Struthio camelus: one gene and its partners. The protein of the gene in region 1 purifies or fractionates together with the protein of each later gene. This does not show direct contact. Links are inferred from orthologs where the notes say so. Each region holds a gene or a part of one and is shown in the gene's direction. Other genes may lie near its edges. The genes, in order: KPNB1, RCC1 and NUSAP1.

Evidence for each region.
Region 2: the proteins of KPNB1 (region 1) and RCC1 purify together in Homo sapiens (affinity purification with mass spectrometry; 3 studies listed by BioGRID and IntAct, counting the BioPlex papers as one, with this or other methods). This does not show direct contact. The link is inferred for Struthio camelus from reciprocal best matches to the Homo sapiens genes KPNB1 and RCC1.
Region 3: the proteins of KPNB1 (region 1) and NUSAP1 purify together in Homo sapiens (affinity purification with mass spectrometry; 3 studies listed by BioGRID and IntAct, counting the BioPlex papers as one, with this or other methods). This does not show direct contact. The link is inferred for Struthio camelus from reciprocal best matches to the Homo sapiens genes KPNB1 and NUSAP1.

Annotation. Positions count from the first base shown.
Region 1 is NC_090966.1:5,915,179-5,920,205, reverse strand, and holds the start of KPNB1 (importin subunit beta-1), read left to right. Parts: upstream 1-1,356; coding exon 1,357-1,732; intron 1,733-2,061; coding exon 2,062-2,120; intron 2,121-5,027.
Region 2 is NC_090964.1:6,352,684-6,357,710, reverse strand, and holds the start of RCC1 (regulator of chromosome condensation), read left to right. Parts: upstream 1-1,366; 5' UTR 1,367-1,453; intron 1,454-1,538; exon of another isoform or gene 1,539-1,743; intron 1,744-1,864; 5' UTR 1,865-1,911; intron 1,912-2,658; 5' UTR 2,659-2,716; intron 2,717-5,027. UniProt on the Homo sapiens protein: Guanine-nucleotide releasing factor that promotes the exchange of Ran-bound GDP by GTP, and thereby plays an important role in RAN-mediated functions in nuclear import and mitosis.
Region 3 is NC_090946.1:41,227,922-41,232,948, forward strand, and holds the start of NUSAP1 (nucleolar and spindle-associated protein 1), read left to right. Parts: upstream 1-1,210; 5' UTR 1,211-1,305; coding exon 1,306-1,398; intron 1,399-2,831; coding exon 2,832-2,897; intron 2,898-4,017; coding exon 4,018-4,209; intron 4,210-5,027. Other genes in the region: OIP5 (protein Mis18-beta), read right to left, coding at 342-408, 643-925. UniProt on the Homo sapiens protein: Microtubule-associated protein with the capacity to bundle and stabilize microtubules. May associate with chromosomes and promote the organization of mitotic spindle microtubules around them.

The DNA of each region.
Region 1 (5,027 bases):
CAGGTTGACTGTAACTAGGTAATTGTCCCTTCTCTCGTTGGCCTTTGTATTTAATCCCACAATAGAGCCTGATTGTGTTACTAATTGCTCTCTCCCGGTGCGCAAGCCACAAGAGACCTGCGAGTCGCAGAGCCCGCCTTTACCTGGGTTTAATTATTCAGCTGCACCTTTGTTCTGCTCCTCTCCTTTTTTTCCAGGCATTCCTCTGTTAAATCCTGCATCTTGTGGAGTTTGAGCTAGGCCTCATGCGTGCTCAGAAGCTGGTGCGGCCATCTCCCTGCCTTGGGGCAGTCCAGCGCCTGGGCTGGACAGGGGCGTGCAGGCGAGCGCGCTGGTGTAGCAGCGCCTCTCCGGGAGGGAGGAAGAACGAGGGGCCTTTAGGTCATTTTTGGTGGTGTTATCACTGCACCCACGCAAGGGATCGCGTAGTCCTTTCCATGGGGGGGGGGGGGAGAGGAATAGTTGCATAAACACAAAACCGTGCAGCCCGGGTGTCACTTGTAGTATCGTTGCTTGTAGGAGCGGCGGTTACAGCCTGGGTTGGGGCCTCTGCTGTAAAGAGCATGCACCCCTGGAGCATACAATAAAGATCTACCTGAACCTCCACCATACCTTGATTATCCTAAACTGTGCCACCGCTGACAACTCCGTCCAAGCTGAAAGCATCTCCCGCGACCTCCCAGAAATCTCCCAGGCTTCACGTCCTGTGCTGCAACCCCCGGTTCTTCAGGGCTGCGGGGAATTGCGCCTTGGGGAAACGGCCCCGTTTCCGCCAGCTGATGCAACTGCGCCTCCCCTCAACGCTCCTTAAAACTCGAGGCACCTTGGTGGAGAAAGCGCGCCTTGGGCCAGGCTGCATCGTGCATGGAAAACACAGCGTGCACGGAGGCTGCATCGGGCATGGAAAACACAGCGTGCACGGAGGCTGCATCGGGCATGGAAAACACAGCGTGCACGGAGGCTGCATCGTGCAGCGAGCACGCATCCCTTACTTGTAGCTTTTAGGTTAATACTAGGTTAAGGTTAATACCAGGTTAGGATCCCCAGCGGGCGGCTCCTCCGCCCGGACCTCCAGGGCCCGGGCAGCGCCGGCGGCGGCGGGACCCCACGGCGAGCGGGGGCGCGCGCGCGCGCGCTGCCGGGCCCGGCCCGGCCCCACGTGGCCGCCCGCGCCGGCCCCTCCCCCGGCCCCGCCGCGGGGGCGCCCTTTCCCCGCGTTGCCCAATCAGCGCGCGCGGCGCCGGAACCCTTTTCCCGCCCCTCCCTTCCTCTCCCTTCCAGACCAATGGCCGCACCCCTACCGGCCCGCCGCGCCGCCGGCCAATGGGAGCGCGAGCCGCCGGCCGCCGCCGGCCAATGAGCGCGGCGGCGCGGGGCGGCGGGCCGCGGGCCGTATCCCTCCGCCGCTCGGTGTGCGCGCGCGCGCCCGCCCCGCTCGCGCGGCCCTTTTCTCCCTCCGCCGCTGCCACAGCCGCCCGCCGCAGCAGCCGGAGCAGCCGCCGCCGCCGCCGCCGCCCCGCGAGGTCTTCCGCGAGCGGGACCTCCCCCCTCCCCACCCCACCCCGTTCCCTCTGCCGTTTCTCACGGGGGAGGCTCCTTTCCCCCTCCCCCCCTTTCCCTTCACTCCCCTCCCCCCCTTCCCGGCTCGTTCCGCTCCCCGCACGCCGGTGCCGGAGCCGCCACGCCGCCGCCATGGAGCTCATCACCATCCTGGAGAAGACGGTCTCGCCGGGTAGGGCGCGGGCCGGGCCGAGGCCTGAGGCGGCCGTTAGGCCCGGAGAGGCCGGGCGGGGCGGAGGCCGCTGCCGGCGGCGGTGGCGGGGGGGGGGGGAGGGGGAGGCCGCGCAGCAGCCCCGCGGGCTGCGGCCGGCTGAGGTGAGGCGGCGGCAGCCGCTTGGCTGAGGGGAGCTGGGTTGGGCGGCGGCGAGCGGGGCCGCGGGAAGGGGGCTGGGAGCGCGGCGGGAGCCCGGGGCCCTCAGGAGCCGGGGCCCGGCGGGAGGCGCCCCCGGGACCTGACTGACGCCGGCTTCCCCCTGCCGTCTCTCCTCGCTTCCCCGGCAGACCGCTCCGAGCTAGAGGCGGCGCAGAAGTTCCTGGAGCAGGCGGCCATCGAGAACCTGGTGAGAACCGGGGAGGGCGGCGGCGGCGGCACCGGGCGACACCGAGCGGGCGGGGGGGGGGGGGGGGGCGCGCTCCCCTCCCCCACCGCCCCGCCCGGCCAGGCCGAACCGCCATAAAAGGCGCAACCTACCTCGCCCGCGTCCAGCCGGGGCGGCGGCTGGCCAATCGCGGCTCGCCCGCCGCCTCCGCCGACCAATGGCGACGCGGCGCCGGCAGAAGGGGGGAGGGGCCGCGCTAGGCTGCGCCGCGCTGCGTGTCCGCGCCGCGCAGCGCCGCGCCGGCTGCGGTGGGAGCGGCCCGCGGGGCCATGTGCGGCCCCGCCGCCTCCCCGCGCCCCGCCGCGGCCCCGGCCCCTTGCCAGGGTGTTTATATCTCTCCTCCAGCCCCTACCCCTCCACTTTCCCTTTCCCCCCCCCCAACCTTTTTTTTTTTTTAATTTATTTTTTATTTTTTTGCTGAGCTCCTCTCCTGGCCCACTTCCCGTCTTTCTCCGCCCCGTTCCGAGCCCATCCTCGAGGCCTTTCCCCGCACGCGTGCCGGGGAGGCGGCTGGGGAGGGCGATGACACGGTCGGGATCCTGGTGGGGGAGTCACTGTGCTGGGTGGGGTCAGGAGAGGTTAAGATTGATTAATTTACCTGGAATGAATGGGGAGGGGGGGAACTCTGTTTTCGAGAGGAAAAGCTTTATCGCACCAAAAAACGTGCTTATGAAAGTTCTCATCGCCCTATTCCTTTCCAAAAAAACCCAGCTTTTTTATATATGTCCTAAAATTGAGGATGGTGTAGAGAAGTTTAACTCTCCATCGAAGGAATATGATTTTTTGCTTAGTCAAGGTGTATTATTGCAACTGTTTCAAGGCTCTTACAGGAGAGGGCTTGCGATGCTAATTTGCTGTCCTTGAAGGAATCCTAGCTCATTTTAACAGAGGTGTGTTATTCATGTCACTTCAGTATTCTAGTTGTCACTCACTGGTTGTTACGGTTACTAGCAAAATTTATTCTTCCTTTTTAAACGGTCATATGTGCATTTGTCTCCACTTGTCTAAACCACAAAAGTAGTGTGGTCTTTGTTGTTGTTACATTTTAAGCAGTGTGAAGCGTCCCTGAGAATCATAATTGACATAGTTTTTACACAGAAATGTCCGTTTTGATTCTAATTTTGTGAATGGCTGCTTGTTAAATCTTAGGATCCCCTAAAAATCTTATAACCTCAGGGTTAGGTTGACGTTCCTGCGCAGTGTTATATGAAGCATTTTGGATTGACGTCCTTGGGCAGCTCGTGATTTTATGCATTTCAGGCTTTTGAAAGAGCTGGGGGATGAGCCAGTTTCTCAAGGTTTCATTTATACCTGCTTTCTTGGCTCAGAGCGCAAAAGCGAGGTCAAGGCAGCAAGCAGAGGAAGCAGAATTTGTGCTGGTGCGTGAGGGATGAAGTTTGTGCCCTGGTTTGGGAAGGGGTGTGGGTTGGTGCAGGTTCCCAACGGATGGGGGCCGAGGAGTCCCATCTCAACCGCGAGAGTGATGAGTGCAGTGAGGAAGCTTGGGTTTGTCGGAAGAAGCATAAAAGGTAGCGTAGGAGAGGAAGGATGCAGGGTTCTGGGTTGTTCGTAAGTGGTATGTGATTGGGAAGAACTCTAGCTGGGCCTGGAGGAACAGGAAGGAAGTAGGGAAGAGGTAGGAGGTAAGGGATTGGGTTAGAGGCTCTGTGCTGGGGGCTACTGGTAGTGGCAGCCAAGCAAACAAAGTCTGAAATGAACTCCCAGCTGGTTAATGGAGACTTATCCAAATATGCTTATTCTTTCTTTTCCCCTCCTGTATTTAATTTAGACCCTTTTCTGAAATTTTTCATTGGCGTTTTTGTAAGTGTGGAAGTCATATGCATCTGCATTTGGTTTGGATCTTAATGTAATGCTTCTAACTTTTAGCAGGAATTATATCAAAGTTCCTTAAAAAGACTTTTTTTTTTTTTTTTTGTTAACTGATGAGAGAGATCTCCAAGGGCATTTCCTCAAATTTGGAATTCTAGTCAGGTTTCCTTCTCAAAGGTGGCAGCAACACTTTTGTTTTGCCCTGTGAACTTTTCTGAACGGTTTCCCATTTCTGGCACAGTAGAACTCAATGTCTCAAGTGTGAACATTCTTGATGGATGAGAAGTGTTTTCTTTTATTATGGTGTATTTGTACATTTTTTTTTTATGTAGAGCATTAAAATGTCAGGATATTTCTGACTGGACAACTGGATGACTGTTTTGTTTCCAAATTCTGCATTTTGACTTTTATCTACTAGATAGCCTAATTAAGATTTTTCAAGAGGCAAACTTGATCACTGAAAATGTAAAGTCCAGGATACTGGGCATGCTCTTTGTTTCTATTGAACTTTTAAAAGTTAAGCTAGTTTAAAAAAATAACTATTTTTTTGGTGCCCTAAAATCTTTGTATGTATCCTAAGTTCTGTTATACAGACTTTTAAAAATTGGTTAGATGCAACTATATATTAAATGGAACGTTTTCTGGAAAGCTGCATTCTTCCTTGTCTATTTGGTATAAAATGGTTTTGAAAATAGTGCTGTTTTTGCTATTTACCTGAAGGTTGTTTACCTTTTAAATAGGCAAAATGCTTCATCTGGCCAGTTAAATGAAAATGTTCTGCTGTTGAAACTTTAGCTGTATCTTGTATGCAGCAGAAGTCTATAAAATGTAAAGCTACTGAATTGCAAAATCAAATTTAAATGCAGATGTGCTTCTCACTAGATGCCACCAAAAACAAGTGGTACAGACGTCAAGTATTTTTATCTATGCGTACACTTTTTGGTGAGGATAATCTTCACTTGTGTATATGTATCTTTGATTGCAGGGAAGTATATAGTAAGCTTACTCGTACAAATCTATTTAATGCACCAACACAGC
Region 2 (5,027 bases), on another chromosome or scaffold:
CTCACACTTGCTCTGATGTTAACAGATCTTGCCTTGAGATACTTAGGCTTGTTTAACAAATTACAGAGCCAGGAACTTAAAACATTGTAGAAAGGCAACAGTCAATTTGGGGAAGCTGTGATAGTAGTTAGTTCTTTTTATTGTGGCTTCCTCTGTATTTTTTTTGTTTTAATTCTCACAGATCAGGGTGCAACTTGCCTTTTCTCTCTTTTTTTTTTTTTAAAACAGCAAAACCTACTGGAAACTTGATAACTTCACTGTGTGGGTGGAAGGTGGGGGGGGGGGAGAAGAGGTTTAAAAAGTGACCTTAAAACAGCTCTTCGTTCTCTTTGGAGAATGATTTCTTGTCGGTTCTTCCTGAGTGTTTGGATTTTTAATTCTGGTGCGCAAAGCCTAGCCCTGCGGCTGCGATGCCACCAGCCCTGAAGGAAGGGGAGAGGGGAGGCGGCGCAGCGGGGCGGGAGGACTCGCCTTGTTCACAGACCGCTCGACCGCAGGGTGAGGGGCCGCCGCAGGCCGGGCCTGGGCACCGCTCTGCGCCCACTCCCTGGGGCCTGCTGTGCCGAGAGCTGCTGCGCCGGGGTCCCCCTGCCCTCGCCCGGACCGTCGGCACCGCTCGCTGCGGCTCCCGGGCGAGGCCGAGCCGAGGGCGGCCCGCGCGGCCTTGTCCCCTGCTGCCGCCATGCTGGGCAGCGGGTGCGTCCTCCTTCATGGCTTCCCCCCCTCCCCCCAGTATGGCTGTGGACTAAATCATTGCATTGTTGTATATCCTTCTCCTCCTCAACAGATTTTAATTATTGAATAAAAGTATTTTAGGATTTGTTTTTTAAAAAGACTGATTTTTATGGCTTCATGGTGTGAGGAGGGGGAGAGCTGCGTTTCAAAGGGACTTTCTGGGAAGGGACTGGGCAAGGGGAGGGAATGCTCGGACTCCTCTTCCTCTCCGCAGCGGCTGGCGATGCCAGCTTTAGGGGGAAATACAAAAAACCGGGACGTTTGCTGCGGGTTCGGCCTTTTGCGCCCTCCCGCCGCGCACGCGCCGTCCCCCCACCCTTTCCCGGCGCCCTCCCGCCGCGCACGCGCCGTCCCCCCACCCTTTCCCGGCGCTCTCCCACTGCGCATGCGCGGTCCCCCCGCCCCTTTCCGGCGCCCTCCCGCTACGCACGCGCTGTCCCCCGCCCCGTCCCGGCGCCTTCCCACTGCGCACGCGCTGTTAGCTCCTTTCCCTTTTCCCGCGCTCTCTCCCTGCGCACGCGCGGCCCTTCCCGGCCCCTCCCCCACACTGCGCACGCGCCGGACCAGCTGCCCAATCGAAACCTGCAGCTGCGCAGTCTCCTCGCGCTGCTGCCGGCGGCGCATGCGCGGAACGCTAGCCCCGCCCCGCCCCGCCCTATAAATTCCGCGGCGCGGAGCTCCTCGGTCTCTTTGTGGGCGGCGAGCGGAGAGGGCGGAGGTGAGGTGTCGCCGCGGGGGTAGGGGGCAGCGGGGGCGCCCTGGGCTCCGGGGTTGAGGGTGGCTGCGGCGCTCTGGAGCTAAACCCAACGTGGATATCCGGAGAAGTAGCTCTCTCTCGGCTCTGTCCGTGTGGCGCGGGGGAGCGTAGGCCTTCGGGCCTGTGACGTACAGTCCCTTTCCACAACGTTGGAGAAGAAGCCGGGCCTCGGGTCTGCAGCCTGCATATTCCTACTGCTTCTCCGAGTCCTCGGACTGTGACGGAGGAGATAAACCATGCAGGAGACAAATACTGTAACTCGGGGATAGCTTTGCGCTGGGGTTGGGCAGCCGCTGCGCGTGCTTTGGGGAGAAGTGCGAATGAGGTCTAATTTGCAAGCGGTTACTTAAAATATTGTTTTCTTTATTTCAGTTGTAAGCTTGAGAAGCTTGAAGTGAATGGGGCGTTGATTTTTCAAGGTAATGTTGCACTAGTAATGTAATATTGTTCCGTGTTTGTAGTTATGCCGCTCTCTTAATAGTTTGTTCTCTAAAGAAGCTTGAACTATACTCCTTTAGCTGGCTTACGCAAAATGAATTGGGTCAACAGCTTGAGGTAATTGAATACCATTATAGACTTGGTAGGCACTATTTAAGAGCGAAAACTTAGCTTTAGATATTTCCCCACTTCTGAGATGTCACAAGACTTTAGATGGATTGGGGGGGAAAGAGAGGTTAACTTCTGAATCTTAAGGAAAAAAATAGAAAAAAATTCGTTTCTGAAGTATGGTTGAATTGTACTTGTGGATTTAGTGAGCTTGGGGCAATCGCCCATGTGCTCATGTTAATCAGTCCTAGAGCAGACTTTAACATCATCTGTGAAGAACAACGTGGATCATTGATCTGGGTACTGGAGCATTGGGATTACATTGAAAGAAGCCACGGGCCACAATTACTTAGGACTGGGAGCATGTGACTGTCCTGTACTTGATACCTGGTACTTGTACCTGATAATGGTGTATTTAATGGATGAGCAGAATGGATTAACAGAATAGATAGAGGTCCCTTGAAAAAATATATGCTAGTATCGTAGCACCCTGTGTGCCCCTTACAGAAGGGGGAGAACAAAAGTGCTTCCTGGCAGATCATAAACAGCAAAAAACCCATGTGACTTGCCAAGTTTTAAGATTCTTTTTTTTTTGTTGTTGAATTTTTTTAACATTGCAGACCCTGACTGAGTGTGAGATGCTAACAGCAGAAAGTAACCTGTCTGCCTAGTGGGATGGTGAGTATGCTCAGAGCACCTCTACCAACCAGAAAATAGAGGAAGTAGATGAGGTCCAATTCATGCAAAGTGTTGAATCAAAATGAGACCGCAGACACTGGAGTAGGCTGGAAGGAGAAGATGTCTGTATTTGGCTATCTAATAGCATGTGCTCATTCTGGGGGCCTGCTGTTTTCTGCTGTATCAGAAGAAAAGGCCCTGGTGGTTGCATGGCATGCTAACTGTTGAATGTTGCACAGTGAAGCAGGGCCTGCTCAGCAGGGCTGACCCTGCACGGCTTAGCCACGCTCTGAGGAACATAGTGGAGAAAGCCTGTAGGAACAAAGGGCCGTGGTGCACAGCACCTGAAATCAGTGTGCCAGTGCACGTTGTCTACACAAGCTAGGAGAATGCTTGTTAAATGTTTGGATAACCTGTCTGTGGTGCTTAACCTGAAATGGAGCCAGAGAAATGAAGCAAGCCATTGTGAATCTTTCTGGTTGTAGGTGAGATGAATTGTTTGGTGCTGGGGAAGAAGGCAAAAGAGTGTGAGTATGGCGTGAAAGTCATATATAGCTTGTGTTAATGTCTGTTCAGGAAGTTTTGAATTACTTCTGTGAATGTCCTGGAGGTTTGTGATGCTATGCCTGACAAATAAAGAAATTACTTTGAAATGGTGTTGTATGGCTGTTTTTTCTGGCATGACTGTTGGCCATTTGTTCATTCCTTGAAGCTCAGGACCCATGACTAAACTTCTAGGGTTTCATAGCTAATGTAGCAGGGTTGTCCTTCGGAAGATCTTTAGAGTCTGCCCAGCGTCATCTCCAGTGATGCCTGCTTTTGAGCTAGGAAGGTCATAGCAGCAGCATGATTATCACTAAATATACTGGTGAGGATACCGATAAATATATGGTATTTTGTATCCTTTACAACCACCAGAGTTCCCTGGTCTGTAGGGTTTGGTGGGGGAGGAGGGTGTGGAGTGCCTTTGCTTTAAGTTCCAAATATCCTTCATACTTTGGGAGATATTTTCTCCCTGCAATTAAGTCAAAGGCTTTAGAGGCTTTTTTTATTCCTGTTGAACCTATGAACCCCTTTGGAACTTTTAACTTAAATGTCAGCAGCTTTGCTTCATAGCTGCAATGTTCCCCACCTGGTCAGTGGAGCATGTATCTACCCCTGGGTGTTGAACATAAGGATGAGTTACACGAGAAACCTGTTTCACAGTCTGAAACAGTGGAATGGGCACAAAGAGCAGAGGGGTGTTTGTCCTGACAAACTTCTAAACAGGAAAAGGGCCTTGAAGGACAAAATACTGAAGGTTGCTGTGGGAGGAGACCTGAAGGGAGCGTGCACAGTCGAGGAACGTGGTAAGAGCGAGCGTGTGGTCGTGAGCTGTAAGTCCAGCTCTGCAGAGCAGTCTGAGAACAGCACAGCTGCCTTGTAAAGTCTGCCTGGAGTTGGCCTAGAGGTGCCACTCATGGGTTAAATAGCTCATGGGCTATTTAACTTGGGAGAATGCCCTTTCTCCTTGCTCTGAGAGTCGATGAACCTTGCTTGAACCGGATGGTGAGGCTGGTGAATGCCTGTGGGGGAGGGTTGGAGGAGCAGTTGTCTGTCTTGGGTACCTGGTTTGAAACTTGCTGGCTCATGGGTTGAATGCTGAGGGTGTATGGGGGTAGTGGGGCTGTCTGCTTGCTCTCTGGAGCTTGAGCTGATCCTGGCAAGACTTGAGGTTGCGCCTGGCTTGGAACTGTGCTGAAGTGGTTGCAGATCACCTCATGGCATGTAAATTTTTCATGGGGGAAAGGGCAAATGCAAATAGATGTGCTTTCTTCTTGACATGCACTTTCCTAGATAGGCTGGTTGTCTTTTTCTAACTCTGAGCTGGCAAGTGCTTGTTTTCCTATTGCATCCTGTCACAAACTGGTTTAAATCCTACACCTGCAAGTGACTTTCACCTGCTTCACTGTAATTCACAACCTGGGCTCCAGCTGGAGCTGCAGTATGACTCCCACTGCCCCTTAGCAGGCCTCAGCCGTGGGGTGGGATGTCCTGTCCTCAGGGTGTGAATCTGATTACAACACTTGACATCAAATCCAAGTGTTTGTTAAACCAGCAGATGAACAGTAGATCGTGAGTCCTTGTAGAAGTGCAATGTGCGCAAAAGGCTCAGGGACCACAGCCCCAGTTCTTGCTTGGACAATGCTAGTGGATGCCTCCACGGAGAGTTTGGGGTTTATCCTGTTGCCTTGCCTCGCTCAGCTCATGGCACTGTAACGGGGACAGCTAACCCTGCTGTGAGCTCAGTTTGTGATAGGTTGTGTTTTTT
Region 3 (5,027 bases), on another chromosome or scaffold:
AGGAGGAAAAAAAAGGGTAAAAGGCTATAGGCTACCTTTTACTGCATTGCTCAAACATTCCTCTCTCTCCGTTAACAAGGGTAAATGCTGACAAAACTTCTTCTGATTTTGATAAGAATTAAAGCTACACATATACAAAAGAATTTTCAGTTCAAAGTTATGAAGTACAGGTCCAAAAATCACTTAGGACTTTATCAATTCCACGAGACATCTCAGTGCCCCAGCTAGAAAACGTGCAGGAACTCTTTCCCTCTGACTTTGGGGAGGCCTATTTTGGTCCACCTATTTCATCTGATGACTAAAACTTGATGTCAAAAGCAAGAGGTACGTCCGTTACCTACCAGCCTAGGAGGGCTCCTTCAAGGCCGATCATTAGCGACTCTTCCCAAGCAACCTCATTTGTGACTTCTACGAAGAAAGGCAGAGCCAGTGAACAACCCCAGAGCAACGGCCGGTCGCCCCAGCGCCCCCCAGCACGGCAGGCGACGCAGAGCCCCGCCGAGGCGCACAACGGGCCTCTTTCTAACGCGGGGCTGGAAGTTTCCGCTCCGGTATTAAAACCTGCATTAGTAAAAGCTTATGGCCCTGTCCCGCCAGCCCGGACACCCCTCGCTCCGCAGCCCCGGCCCCGGCAGCACTGACTGAAGCAGGCGAGAAGCCCGAGGCGCCGCTCCTCCTGCGCGCACAGGTGCAGCGAGTCCCCCAGCACGGCCCGGCAGCCGCGGCACTGGAACACCGCCCACTCCTCCGGCCGCAGCCTCCGCCGCCGCGCCGCCTCCGCCGAGCCCGCAGCCGGCGGCGGCTGGGCCGGCGGCGGCTGGACCCGCGCCGGTGCGGGGGGGGGCGGCGGCGGCCGCTCCACGGTGATGACCCCGCCGAGCTGCGGGTCCTGGAACAGCTCCTGCAGCCGCCGCCTCACCGCCATCTTCTCCCGCCCTGCGTTCGAGAGCGGCACCCGCCTTCTCGGCCTCCCCATTGGAGCGTGGGACACAGCTCTGCGTTGCCACTGGGCGAGAGACAAGTCAATCCTCCTCGCCTGAGACCATTGGGCAATCAGGCAGGCGGGGGCAGGGTTTCCCCTTACCGGGAGCGCCTATCGCCTTTGAAACAAACACGATCCCTGTGGCCGGGCCGCTATTGGTGGTTACCTTGCCCGCGGGCCCGTCCCCTTCGCTCCGATCAGCCAGTGGGAGGGCGCGGCGGGCCAGTTCGAACGGCGGGGGCGGGGCAAGGCGCCGTGTCAGTTGAGCGCGAGATTCGAAAGGCGGCGGTTGGGGCTTGCCGGCGGGCGGTGGTCGCGCCGCCATGGCGCTCTCTTCGTTGCAGCAGCTGGACTCGCTGAAGTACATCGAGCTCCAGCGGATAGCGAAGGCCGCCGGCCTGAAGGCCAACCTCCGGGTGAGGCGGCGCGGCGGCTGCCCGGCCGCGATGCAGCGAGCGGCGCCGCGGCGCGGGGCTGGCGGGAGCTCCGGGCTGCCCGCTCTGGCGGGCGGGCTCGGCTCGGCTCGGCTCGGCTCGGCTCGCCTCCGGCGCTGCCCCTGCGCTCGGCCGGGAGCTCTAGGGCGGCGCCGGGGGGAGCGAGGGGCCCGGCGGAGCCGAGCGGGAGCGGCGGGAGTGTGGGCGGGCGGGCGGGCGTCGTGGGGGTCGAGTGCCCCCGGCGGCCCCGCGGTCGTTGTTCTGCTTTCGGCCGCTGCGATGAGAAAACCTGCGGTCTGGAGGTGGTGTCGGCAGAGGCGCGGCTCGGGCCTGGGGCGTGGAGCCGGCAGTTTGATAGTTTGACGCTTAAGCGTTCCTTACCGCCTTCAGTTAGGGGCGTGAGACTGTAGACGAAGCTGAGAAGGCGGGGCTCCCTTCTTCCCGGGCCCCCGACCGCCCCGCGTCCGGGCTGCGCTGGCGCGTGGAGCCCCGCCGTGCCCGCGCTGCCCCCGCCGCGCCGGCCGTACCCGCCGACGCGGGCGTTTCATCCGACTGGGGCTGGGAAGAGTGGTAACCACGGGGAGCCTGAAGGGTCGAGAGTGATTATTTTTTACTTACCGATAGGAATTAAGAACAAGGAGTTAAAGCATGTGCCCATCTGTTTTGCCTAGGGCCCTACGGGTATATGACAGTGACCCAGCCTGGCCTGATCTTGGCAGGTACCGCTGGTAAATCCCTCAGCAGAAGTCAGACCCGCACCACCAGTGCGAGAAGGCGTACAGCCTTTAAAAACAGACAGAGGGAAACCCCAGATGCACCACTTATGTGGTAATTTGGATCAAGGATTAATTGTCCTCACAGGACTGAGGCTTCTGCTTGGGGTTTTGGTTCTCTGTTACTTTGTGTGTAACTTCTAGTTCAGAACTGATTTTATGCTGACCTTTCCAGTTAAAGTCTTTTATTCATAGATTAAAACATCGATGGTGTGTCTTTTTTTATTATTATTCTATGTGAATATACAGAAGGGATGAGGAGAATGCTTTCCATATAGTATTGTGTGAAATGGGAAAAAGTTATTAGAGAAGTTGGGTGCAATGTTATTAGCATTCAGTTAGGCTGCTGAAATAGTTTCTTTTATCCTAGAACAATCGACCTTTCTGGACAATAGCTAGACCAGAAGAAATCTGGTCGGGGAAATCTCTCTTTGTATGCTACATATTTAGCCTGGGCCTTAAGTATGTTCTCAAATCTGACTGACTTTAATGAGGCTTCAAGCATGCTTTAAGAGTTCTATTTTATTGGATTCAGCAAGTGCTTTGCTAGTTTGGACTGATTTTTAGGGTGCTTATAGGGTTTGTGCAAGTGTCTGATGACTTAATATAATCTTTAGTTCATATGTTTTGATTTCTCTGCAGGCAGACAAATTGTTGAAAGCACTGAAGCAACATTTTCATGGAGCAAAACAAGAAAATGAAAATATGGTAATAATGAGAAATTAGCTATTCTCTTTAAGAAAGATAAATCTAACTTTGTAACTAGTAAAGTATGGCATGTAGTGAATGTCGCATTTAACATGGTGCAAACTGTAACAAAAAATATATTTTTTTTAAACAGTGTTCAGTATACTTGCATACTGATTGAAATAGATGTGTTGATATTAGCTTTAAAGTGGTTGTGTGTATGACTGAAGGCTGATTTTTTTTATTTTTTCCCCCCACCCCCTCATGCCAAAAACAGCAGTGTATTTTTTCAGTGTAAGCACAAAATTATCCCCTGTGAACGCTAACACTTCAATTTCCATTGACCAAATCTTAATTTTTGCCTCTTTAGCTCCAAGTGCTAGTCAATACTAAATATAAAAATGCCTAGATGAGGGAGGGACTGGGTATTCATCTCAAAGCATTCTCCATTTACTACAGTTTACTTACTGATGTTATAAGAGAAGAGAACCTTTCCTTTAATCATCTCTTAATATGTTATTTTCTTGATTTTTTTTTTTTTTTCCTAAAGCTTTCCCTTTTGTAAGTATTTCATTGAGTATGGAATGTTTATACATTTTTTGACAAAAGTAAATTAGAATCTATTTAAAACACACCATATATTTTAAATGCTTCCTTTATAATCTGCTTCTTTTAAAATATGGAGAGCTTGTGTAATCCTTGTCAGTTTATTTTTAATTTTATCAAGCTTCGACGCATGAGTAACAACTTGAATATATTACATATTTTTCCAACATCTGATTACAGTCTGGTATGATAAGTGTGGAAGAATGCTGTTGTTGTATCTCTCTCTTTTTTTTTTTAAGGTTATTCCATAGGAATGTAAAAACTTGGCAGATCACAGCATCATGCAAGTCAAATTTCCAATATAAACTATTAGGTTTTTTTAAATGTCTTTGTAGAATATTGTGCATATAATGAAACAACTGTAGGTTTTCTGTCTCAGTCTTCCAATAATCAGCTTGCTATTTAAGGAAACCTAGATATCACTCATTCATTGCTGTGCTACTAAAGACCACGCCTTTTCCGATAATAACGCTGAGGCTGTCTCTTTGTAGTATATGTCAGATATGTTTCATATGATGATACTTATCTGATATAGGACTCTGAAGAAAGTGCATCTGCTTCCATCGAATTGGATGAACAGAACAGTCAGGAGGAACTTATGCCTGATCCAGTGTGTTTTATCACAAAAAGGCGTGGAAAAGAAAAGAAAGCAACCAGAAAAAAAAACAATTCCAATGAGGAAACTAACAGCAGTGAAGACAATACAGGGCATTCTGCTGAGAAAGAGGTGATTTACGTTTCTTGGGTTTGAGTGTCTGCCCCGTCCTCCCTCCGCTAAACACATGTAGTGAAGCATAAGTTAAACGGAGTTGATTCATTTTACCAGTGTTTAACAGGTAACATTCACTTTTTGGTATGCAGACCTACTAGTGTTATTGGTCTTCTGTGCTTTATAGCTCTGTTTTTGTCCAATTTGACTATACACTACTCCAAAATGAACATATAATTTGTTCTTTTTGTACATTTTTTTGGGGGGGAGGGAATATTATTGAAGAAAAAGATCAAATAAAGACTGTATCATTCAAATTATTTTATCAGAATATAAGACTATTTTCATTGGTTCATCATAGTATTCACGAGATTGTTAGGCAAGTTTTGAAACTTATCTAAAATCAGGCTGTTTTCACTTTCCTGTATAGTAAAAATTCACAGAAACTCTGTGATTGCCTTTTCATATGAATTCCTTTTTCTATTAAAAGGTAACTCTTAGATTATTTTCTGAAGAACTATACATAGAGACAGACTAACTACAAGGCAGATTAATTGCTCTGGTGGGCTGGAGGTTTCCCATTCCTCTCAATTTCAAAGTATGTGGGGCGAGTGTCTTGGTGTGTTCGGCTGGTTGTTTTCTCCTCTCTCCCCCCCCCCCCCCCCCTTTTTTCTTTTTAATATGTATTGGTTGTATGACTGAGGGAGAGGAGGTTTTCAAGGTGAGGTGGGGATAAAACTTTTTTCTTCTCCCCTCTAAAATCACATGCAAGTAGAGGGAGAACTAAGACAGAACTTTATGAAAGACTTTTACTGGTGTAAAGGTGGAAGAATGAG